Linked DNA regions of Mus musculus. The protein of the gene in region 1 interacts with the protein of each later gene in a pairwise test. Links are inferred from orthologs where the notes say so. Each region holds a gene or a part of one and is shown in the gene's direction. Other genes may lie near its edges.

What was found.
Region 2: the proteins of Kctd9 (region 1) and Nup35 interact in binary tests that used the Homo sapiens proteins (3 or more experiments, as listed by UniProt). The two-hybrid records come from large-scale screens. The link is inferred for Mus musculus from reciprocal best matches to the Homo sapiens genes KCTD9 and NUP35.
Region 3: the proteins of Kctd9 (region 1) and Trim42 interact in binary tests that used the Homo sapiens proteins (3 or more experiments, as listed by UniProt). The two-hybrid records come from large-scale screens. The link is inferred for Mus musculus from reciprocal best matches to the Homo sapiens genes KCTD9 and TRIM42.

The regions. Positions count from the first base shown.
Region 1 is NC_000080.6:67,740,018-67,742,891, forward strand, and holds the end of Kctd9 (BTB/POZ domain-containing protein KCTD9), read left to right. Parts: intron 1-278; coding exon 279-395; 3' UTR 396-2,293; downstream 2,294-2,874. UniProt on the Homo sapiens protein: Substrate-specific adapter of a BCR (BTB-CUL3-RBX1) E3 ubiquitin-protein ligase complex, which mediates the ubiquitination of target proteins, leading to their degradation by the proteasome.
Region 2 is NC_000068.7:80,655,808-80,658,348, forward strand, and holds part of Nup35 (nucleoporin NUP35), read left to right. Parts: intron 1-141; coding exon 142-270; intron 271-1,381; coding exon 1,382-1,546; intron 1,547-2,513; coding exon 2,514-2,541. UniProt on the Homo sapiens protein: Functions as a component of the nuclear pore complex (NPC).
Region 3 is NC_000075.6:97,363,333-97,366,993, reverse strand, and holds part of Trim42 (tripartite motif-containing protein 42), read left to right. Parts: intron 1-693; coding exon 694-1,391; intron 1,392-3,287; coding exon 3,288-3,661.

The DNA.
Region 1 (2,874 bases):
CACACTTCCTCCAACAAGGCCACACCTACTCCAACAAGGCCATACCTTCTAATTCTTCTAATCCTTTCAAATAGTTCTACTCCCTGTGATTAAGTATTAAAATATATGAGCCTATGGGGCTCATTTTTATTCACATTGCCATAATGCATTAGAAGAAGGGTTCCAATAATGGGAACACTTGGGAATATTGTCCTGTCATGGCCAGAAGTCATTTTGTGGGGGAAACCAAGTCAGATCCTAAATCATTTGAGCTCTTCACGTCTTGTTTTGTCTTACAGAACTGTGATTTGTCGGGGTGTGACCTCCAGGAAGCCAACCTGAGAGGCTCCAATGTGAAGGGTGCCATATTTGAAGAGATGCTGACACCATTACATATGTCCCAGAGTGTCAGATGAGAGTGGCAGGAGCTGGAGGAAGATGTCCCAGATGGAAGCGTTTCCTTATTTTATTTCTCCATCCATCCATCGAGTTGTGTAGTGGAGATAAAATTGTAAGGGAATTTAAGGCATATGCTTGTTCCCAGAGGTGCATAAGGGGAAGTAATTGGCTTTCCCCTCATTGGGACTGTAACAGAAGGACACTCTGTTCATAGATGTAGGGGCAGTAGATGATGCTGCTGCATTTTGAGTGGAGTTGGGGCATTTGTCTGGTCTCTGACCAGGAGTAGTAGCTATTATATTTGCTTTTATTTAGGCATTGTGTGGAAGTGCCATCTTGGTTCAAGATGCATTTGAAATTTTAATTTATGAAAAGCACAACATATGCAAATATATTTATTGAATACCTAGATGCAGTAAGGATGTTTAAGTTGTTAAATGTCTTGAAGACTCTGAAGAGTTGTTCAGGTTTATAAATAGCTTTAGTGATGCCTTCCTCTTCACACACCTATCTATCACATGAGGGTGGTTAGTTTAAGACTCCCTGTGGCTCTTTTGAGATTCATTTCTATAATGTTTACTTTTAAAGAAGAAAACAGCTAAATTTGAGTCATAATCTGCTCTCACATTTTGAGACACAGTGGACGGAAAGCTCTTGTGTATCCTTGTGCAGGAGAAGGAAGGGCTCACCAGTACTGCAGCTGTCTAGTGAGCATGCTTCTGCTTCATTGGAGGCAAGTCCCATTCTGCACGAGACTAGGCTACTCTTTCCCTTCACTCGTCCAGTTCTCATGCTCAGTTGTCACAAGCACAGGAAGAAACGTCAGAACCAAAATACAAGCTTTAGCCTGATCACAGTTCATGTAATGCCAATTAGTTTATACACAACCAGCTTAGAATAGACTTTCAATCTGAATCTACTGCAGGTGGAGTATGAATAAATCCTGCAGTCGCCTACAAGAAGGCAACATCAGATAATTATAGCTGAAACCCTGCAGAGGGGACTAAGAAATTCTAAACTGATGGCTTGATTATAGCCACCAGGAAAGGTTGATGAACAAAGGAAGCATTTGGCTAGGACACGATGCTCTATGTCAGTACCTGTGGCTCGCTCTTTTTTTTTTTTCTTAAATAGTTTTTGTTGTTTGTCTTGTTTTTCAATGAAATTTTAGTCCAGTTTTCTTGAGTCATTATCTGTGAACACAGTAGTAGGGCCTTTACCTTCCTCGTAGGTGTCCCAGTGTCCTTATTTGTTGCCCAAAAGCAGGGAAGAAGCTGTGTCCAAATGGGTTCTAAATCCTACAGGCTGGTCGGCTTGAGGCAGTGAATCATTACAGACTCCCTAGTCTCCTTCAGGAGAGTGGCATGTCTTCATTATTCTGTAGCGTATTCTTATATCTACATATGCAAAGCTTTCCTTCACAGTAAAGGGCTTACATGGGGAGGAGAGCACTCCTTTACAGGGAAAGGAAAGCAATTTCAAAAATGAATTATTTTCTTTGTGTTATTATTTTTACCAAGACAGAGAAGTATTGTATTGAGAGATACCTATTTTCATAATCAATATGTGCCTAAATTCTATTTAACTCATTTCACTGCACTCTATTTTCAATAATTATAGACTGTATTCATTCACTGAATGGTCCTCTGCAGACATATCTGAGGCTGCAGAAGGAGCTGAAAGATGGAAACACAGTGTGTGTGGGAACTGCGGGGTTCAGAGCTGATGGAAACCACATTAATAAATGACCAGTGTGGAACGCTGACGGCCTGTTTCTGCTCTTGCTTTTCTAAGACAGCACTTTCTGCATTTCCCACAGTTCTTCATGATGGTGCCATGTAGGAGCGGACCACACAGGCCGCGCTCTTAATGGATTAGGTTTCTTGAAAAAGCCATTAAAGCACATTTACTTGTTGGGTGTGGTTTCCTGACTGTCTTTTCACAGACCACCATGCTCCAGCATTTCCATTTCTGCACTAGGGAAGACACCCAGTGATTTGTGTTGCTCTGTAGCTGATGAACATCAATGATGGTTTGCTGTGTTGAGTAAGAGATCTAGGAGAGAGATTGGTAAAAAAGGAGGAAGGTTCCAAAGAGAAAGGCTTGGCGTGAATGTGTGTGTCTATAAGTTAAAATAGCATGGGAGGGCTGCAGAAAGGTTCTCAGCCTAAACTGTCGAAGACAATACATGTCAGGCTCTGATATAGTCAAGTTCCTCAGAAACCATTTGAAGGGATTTTTGAATAAGAAATATTATAAAGTCATTATTATGATGGATTCCATTATTAAGACCTATTTTCTCCAGTTCATTTTATGAATCTGTTATTTATGTCATAAGTGAACTTTAAATCATCTTTTATACATGAAAAACTCTAGAACTATATTACATTCCCCAAGGAGGTAGTATCTTTAAAATACAAAGCGTCAAACTACAAAGGAAAGTGGCTGCATTATTTCAGGATAAAACATGTTCCCCAAGGCTTTATTCTCAGCCTT
Region 2 (2,541 bases), on another chromosome or scaffold:
GAAGCTATTTCCATAGATCTTTCTGAATTCTAATATGCAGCTTTTATAGGGGATCAAATAAAAATGCACGTCAATTTTGTCCTCATGTTTGTATGTTAGGTGTGGATTTTGTATCTTATGAAACAATTTCATTGTTTGCAGATGTCTAACACAGGCAACTGGATGCATATTCGTTACCAATCTAAATTGCAAGCCCGGAAAGCCTTAAGCAAAGACGGGAGAATATTTGGAGAATCCATCATGATTGGTGTCAAGCCATGTATAGATAAAGTAAGTTGTGGGTGATTTAAGGAAAGTAGCTTACTTATTCTGCATGAAGAGTGCAGGTAAATATTAACATTAGTGTTTGTCCTTTAGCCTCACCTTTCTTCTTTTCCCTAGTTTGTGAAATGGCATTACAAGATGTTAGAGATTATCTCTCTGAACTCTTCATTTTTTTTAAAAAAGAAAGGTAACTTGTGTGGAGTAGTACTAAAGTAGATTTTAGGTGTCTGGACCACTAGCCCTCTCTGACTTCTGCTCAGAGCATATCAGGGTTTATAAACTTTCTAATGACTGGTGCTGCTCAGCACAGACATGTCACATGGATGCTAACTGACTTTAAGTAGCTAAAGTTTTCTGATAATCATTTCTGTTTCAGAGTGCTAAAGTTTATTTTATATGTACTTTTTCAACATTGGTGAGTAGAATTTTCAACATTAGTGAGTAGAATTTAAGTTTTGTGGCTTAAAAAAAAAACCCCTTTGGAACATACTTTAAATAAATATATGCAAACCTTTTCCTGAATGCTGCATACTAGTTTCTGTGCCTGTTGCCAGTGCACACACAAAGCAGGCAAAGCAGACGGTGTTTCTTAGAACGCATAAGGGAACCTGAGTAGGAAGAGACACTCAGAGTCTGAAGCTGCATGGCACCCAGGACCCCCAGAGTCCTCTCTTCCCTAGGGCTCTCTGATGGCACTATAGGAATTGTACAGTTATACGAGTTAGTTCTGTTTGTCCTTGCTGACTTACCTTAGGGTCTGCTCTAAGACGCTTTAAACAAATGCACATGTTTATCATGTGTTCCGGGCTTATCCATCCCCATTCCTCTCTCACGTCCTCTGGAGCCTGCTATTCCAAAACATCTGTCTTATGCAGAGACTCTTGTTCTTGTGATATATAATTAAATTGAGGCTGTTTGATTTGGATTAGATCCCAAATTCTAGCTAAGAAATAGTATTTATTCTCAAAGCTAAGTTTACTTAAAAACTTAAATGGTCAAATTTAGTAGTCTTTAATAAGTTTGTGTGTGTGTGTGTGTGTGTGTGTGTGTTTGGGTGTTTTGGGGAAAGTATTACACAGTATTAGATGATGTGTCCCATGTTTCTTTATTTCTCCAGAATGTCATGGAAAACAGTGACAGAGGAGTCTTGTCATCTCCATCTCTAGCCTTTACAACACCCATCAGGACTTTAGGCACTCCAACACAGTCCGGAAGCACTCCTAGGGTTTCTACCATGAGGCCTCTTGCCACAGCATACAAGGCCTCCACTAGTGACTACCAGGTATTCTTAGGATACATGTAGCCTGTTTACTGTTTCATTAGATCAGTGGTGTGTGTGTGTGTGTGTACAGTTAAATGTTTACTCTTCATTTTCCTTGATGAAGCCTTCAAACTTCTAAATTTCTCATTTTTAAAGTTAGAGCCTTCACCAGTTCAAAAGGAAGGGGAAGGGGGATGGGATGGGAGGTTTTGGAGGGGAAAAAAGGATAAAAATTTAAATGTAAATAAAGAAAATATCTAATTAAAAAAAAGGAAAAAAAAGAAAGTTGTCTTTAATTTTGCAGCAGTTTCTTTCTTTGGGCTGGGGACATAGCTCAGCATTTTATGCAGCATGTGCCACAGGTATATGGTTTGATCTCCAGTACTGCAAAGCAAAAGAAAACAGTTCTTAAAACCAAAATATTATTCATTGCTGGCATGAAAAAAAATATTAAACTTTATCAAGTTGATTATAAAACTTGTAAACGAAAACAAAAAAACTTTACAATGCAATAGTATCAGTTATCAAAGGAAGGTGACCAGCTTTGAATATCAGATGAGAAAGTGGTCATTTAAAAAATGTAAAGAAATCCATTGCCTTCTCAAGAATGGTATGGGAACTGAGATGCTTAAGCTGTTATTGGCCCCATTGATTTCCCGAGAGTCCTGGATTTTGGCACAGGCCATGATACCTGCACATGAAGTATGCGTGAGCTGTCAGATGGTTGGGGGAATTTCCCATTGTAGTCTCCTGAAATTTGGAGATCATTACAGAATTTGAGTTTTTTGTTATTACTCTTTAGATCTGTATTTTAAATTCCTCATTTTGTAGGGTTTGGTTTTACATAGTTTTCTAACTAGAAGATGTTAAAAATTCGAATTTTAATGTCAGAATTAAATAGTTAACTGTAGAATTACCTGCCACTAAGGAAACTAACCTGATACATTTTTATTCTTTCTCTTTTTTGTTGTGATGTGTTATTTAATAGGTTATTTCTGACAGACAGACACCAAAGA
Region 3 (3,661 bases), on another chromosome or scaffold:
AGATTGGATTTATTGACTCATTTGCAACAAGGGGGAACATGTCCCACTCCACGTCAGTGTGAGGTACCCGACGGACTGGGGCTTGAGTTAGTGAGAATGGAGTCAATCAGTTGGTTCTCTTACTCCTGTCTAGAAAGCACCTAGAACACATGGAGCCTGAATCATCTATCAGAAAAAAAGAGAAGGTACAATCACTCACATTCCCCAGCAAAGGGGCGTAGGAGGCCATTTATGTGGTTTGGACAATATTCTGGTCCAACATCCTGAAGCAGTATTACTTCTGCTCTGATACATCACAGCCACTGTGGTCCTGTCTGATGCTTTATGGTGTTACTGATATGCATCAAAAAATCCAAGCCAGCTAACCATGCCATACCCCTCTGCTCTCTCTCTCTCTCTCTCTCTCTCTCTCTCAAAAAAAAAAAAAATTAGCAGGATGGCACTACATCGCTCTGGCTGGATCCAGAGAGCCTTCCGTGAAGACAATAAATCCAGTCTTCATCATCTTTTAAAATGCCATGTCATGGGTACCAGTGCCTTAACTGAGTTCATTTACTAAGAGAGTAGAGGCAAGCCAAGACAGGCACCATGCAGGAACCGTTTATCACCTTTCCTATGTGCAACCCCTCTGGGCTGGTCCTTCTGGAGCTCTTGTGTATTGTTCCTGAAGCCTGGGCTTGCTTTTTCTTTCAGCTCTAAGACCGCCCTCCGCGTGGGGAGCAGCGATACTCAGATGGATGAACCCAAGACCATGCCTGCCAGCAGCCACCTGGTGAGCCACCTCACCTGCCCCATGTGCAACCGGCTGCGCCTGCACTCCTTCATGCTGCCCTGCAACCACAGCCTATGCGAGAAGTGCCTGCGGCAGCTGCAAAAGCACGCCGAGGTCACGGAGAATTTCTTCATCCTCATCTGCCCCATGTGCAGCCGCTCGCACTGTATGCCCTACAGCCACCAGATGCACCTGCCAGAAAACTACCTGCGCGGGCGCCTTACTAAACGCTACATGCAGCAGCACGGCTACCTCAAGTGGCGCTTCGACCGCTCCTCAGGGCCCATCCTCTGCCAGGTGTGCCGCACCCGGCGCATTGCCTACAAGCGCTGTGTCACCTGTCGTCTCAACCTGTGCAACGACTGTCTCAAGGCCTTCCACTCAGACGTGGCCATGCAGGACCACGTCTTCGTGGACACCAGCGCTGAGGACCAGGATGAGAAGATTTGCATCCACCATCCATCCAGCCGCATCAACGAGTACTGCCGCAGCGACAACCAGCTACTCTGCGCTTTCTGCAAGATCGCTTTCCACAATGGCCATGACACGGTCAGCCTCATAGACGCCTGCTCCGAGAGGTCTGCTGCCCTCTTCAGTGCCATCGCCAAGTTCAAAGCAGGTCCCGATCAGTTTCCTGCTCCCCTTCAGTGTAACTCCCAGCTGTGAAAAAGACCAGAGGATGCTGTAGGGAACCTTTTGGGGGCAGGTTGTGGGGTGGGGTAGGGGGAGGTGCTCAAGCTGGTGGAGAAATCTAGACACTGGGAGAGCCTGAGATGGCCGCACAGGTATCCATGACAGCTATCACTGGCCAGTTAGTGTCTCTGTGACTCAGTTTTTTCAGCTATAAAATGGGAAGGATAGTGGTAGCTTCCTCATTGGGTTGGTGAGGATAAGAGGAGCTATCTTATGAAACATTCTCTCACCTCTGGAAAACAAACTGGAGAATAATAAGCACAGAAAGATCCTGTCGTTTTTGTTACAATTTTATTGAACTTTTGTCCCATTTTCCAAAAGGGAAAAATAAGTTTTCTCCAGTCACATCCCGAAGTTCTGCTTGTTTGTTTGTGTGTGGTGGTGGTGGTGGTGGGGTGTTTGGTAGTGGTGGTTTTTTGTTTTGTTTTTTTTTTCTGAGCATAACAGTTATTTTTAACTCCACCTCCCTGTTTCCAGGGGGGAAGAACTAATATAACGCTGAGAATCATCTCAATTGAAGTTATCTACCATGAACTTTCTGTCAAAATTGTAGGCAACAAATTTAAAGAACTGCTAATGGCCACATGGTAATAGGGAAACTCCAAAATAGGAGTAATATTCTGGCCAGCTCCTTTTTTTCCCTTCTGTCATGGTTGTTCATATTGGTGTATAATATAATTTATATAAAACCAACCCTGCTTTTTATACTAGAGCAAAGTACAATAATTTTTTGTAAAGTTCCATAAAAGTTTCATAATATCAAAATGTGCCTTTACCAGGTCAGACATGTCTCTGTCTCCAGGTAGACCTAGAAATTCATTTAGGGAATGGCTCCGCCCATAGAGGACCACTTCATATAGGTCTTTGTCTTAAAGTTTCTATTGCTGTGGTAAAACACCATGACCAAAAAACACTTGGGGAGGGAAGGGCTTATTTTATAATTCCACATCATAGTCTAGCATTCAAGGAAATCATGACAAGAATGTGAGACAGGAACCTGGAAGCATAAACTGGCAGAAGCCATGGAGGGATGCTGCTCCCGGCTTGCCCATTCATGATTAGCTCAGTCTGCTATGTTATAGCATCCAGGACCACCTGTCCAAAGCTAGCACCATTCACAGAGAGCCAGGAACTTCCAGCATCAATCATCAGTCAAAATAATGCCTTCGGACTTGCCTACAAACCAATCCTATGGAGTCATTTTCTCTATTAAGATTCTTTGTTTCCAGATGACCCTAGACAGAATGCTCTAGGAATATACCATGCCAGGCTCAATAAGCATACAGGGCAGATGTGGTGTACACTCCATGCATGAGACAGCTGTGCTTAAATAAAGTGGTCGGCAAAAGGCAGCTAGTAAGTCATGCACCCAGACTCTAACACCAGTGCTGAACAGTGACAAGACTCTCTTTTAAATTTAAAAAGAGTGTGGGGTGGAATTATTACTACTTATATTCCATGTCTATAAGAAGTGGTCTACCATCAATGGCTGAAGAATACTAGGTCAAGCTTGGTTGTTAAGACACCATTTAGTAGACATCAGGGAAAGTTACGTGTGCCAGGGGCATGTGGAGGAAGAATAGAGGGGAATTTATTTCAAAAGCCTGTTGTAGCCTGTGTCAGCCAAGCTAGGTGTTTCTCTCTCTCTCTCTCTCTCTCTCTCTCTCTCTCTCTCTCTCTCTCTCTCTCTCTCTCTCTCTCTCTCTCTCTGTCTCTCTCCATTTCCTTTGAGTCCAGAGATTTGCTTCAGTTTGATATGGCTTTGATATCTGTAGAGATGAAAATATTCACGGTAACCGACTTGGTTGTTTTTTTTTTTCAGTCCGATATGAAATTGATAATGACCTGATGGAATTCAACATTCTAAAGAGCAGTTTTAAAGCTGACAAGGAAGCAAAGAGGAAGGAGGTCCGGAATGGTTTCCTCAAACTGCGAGCCATCCTTCAAGAGAAAGAAAAGATCATCATGGAACAGATAGAGAATCTGGAAGTGTCCAGGCAGAAAGAAATTGAGAAATATGTGTACATTACGACCATGAAAGTGAACGAAATGGATGGCCTGATTGCTTACTCCAAAGAAGCCCTGAAGGAAACAGGACAGGTGGCCTTCCTGCAGTCTGCCAAGATCCTGGTAGACCAGATTGAGGAGGGCATCCAGAATACCTTCAGGCCCGACCCTCAGCTGCGGCTTCACTCC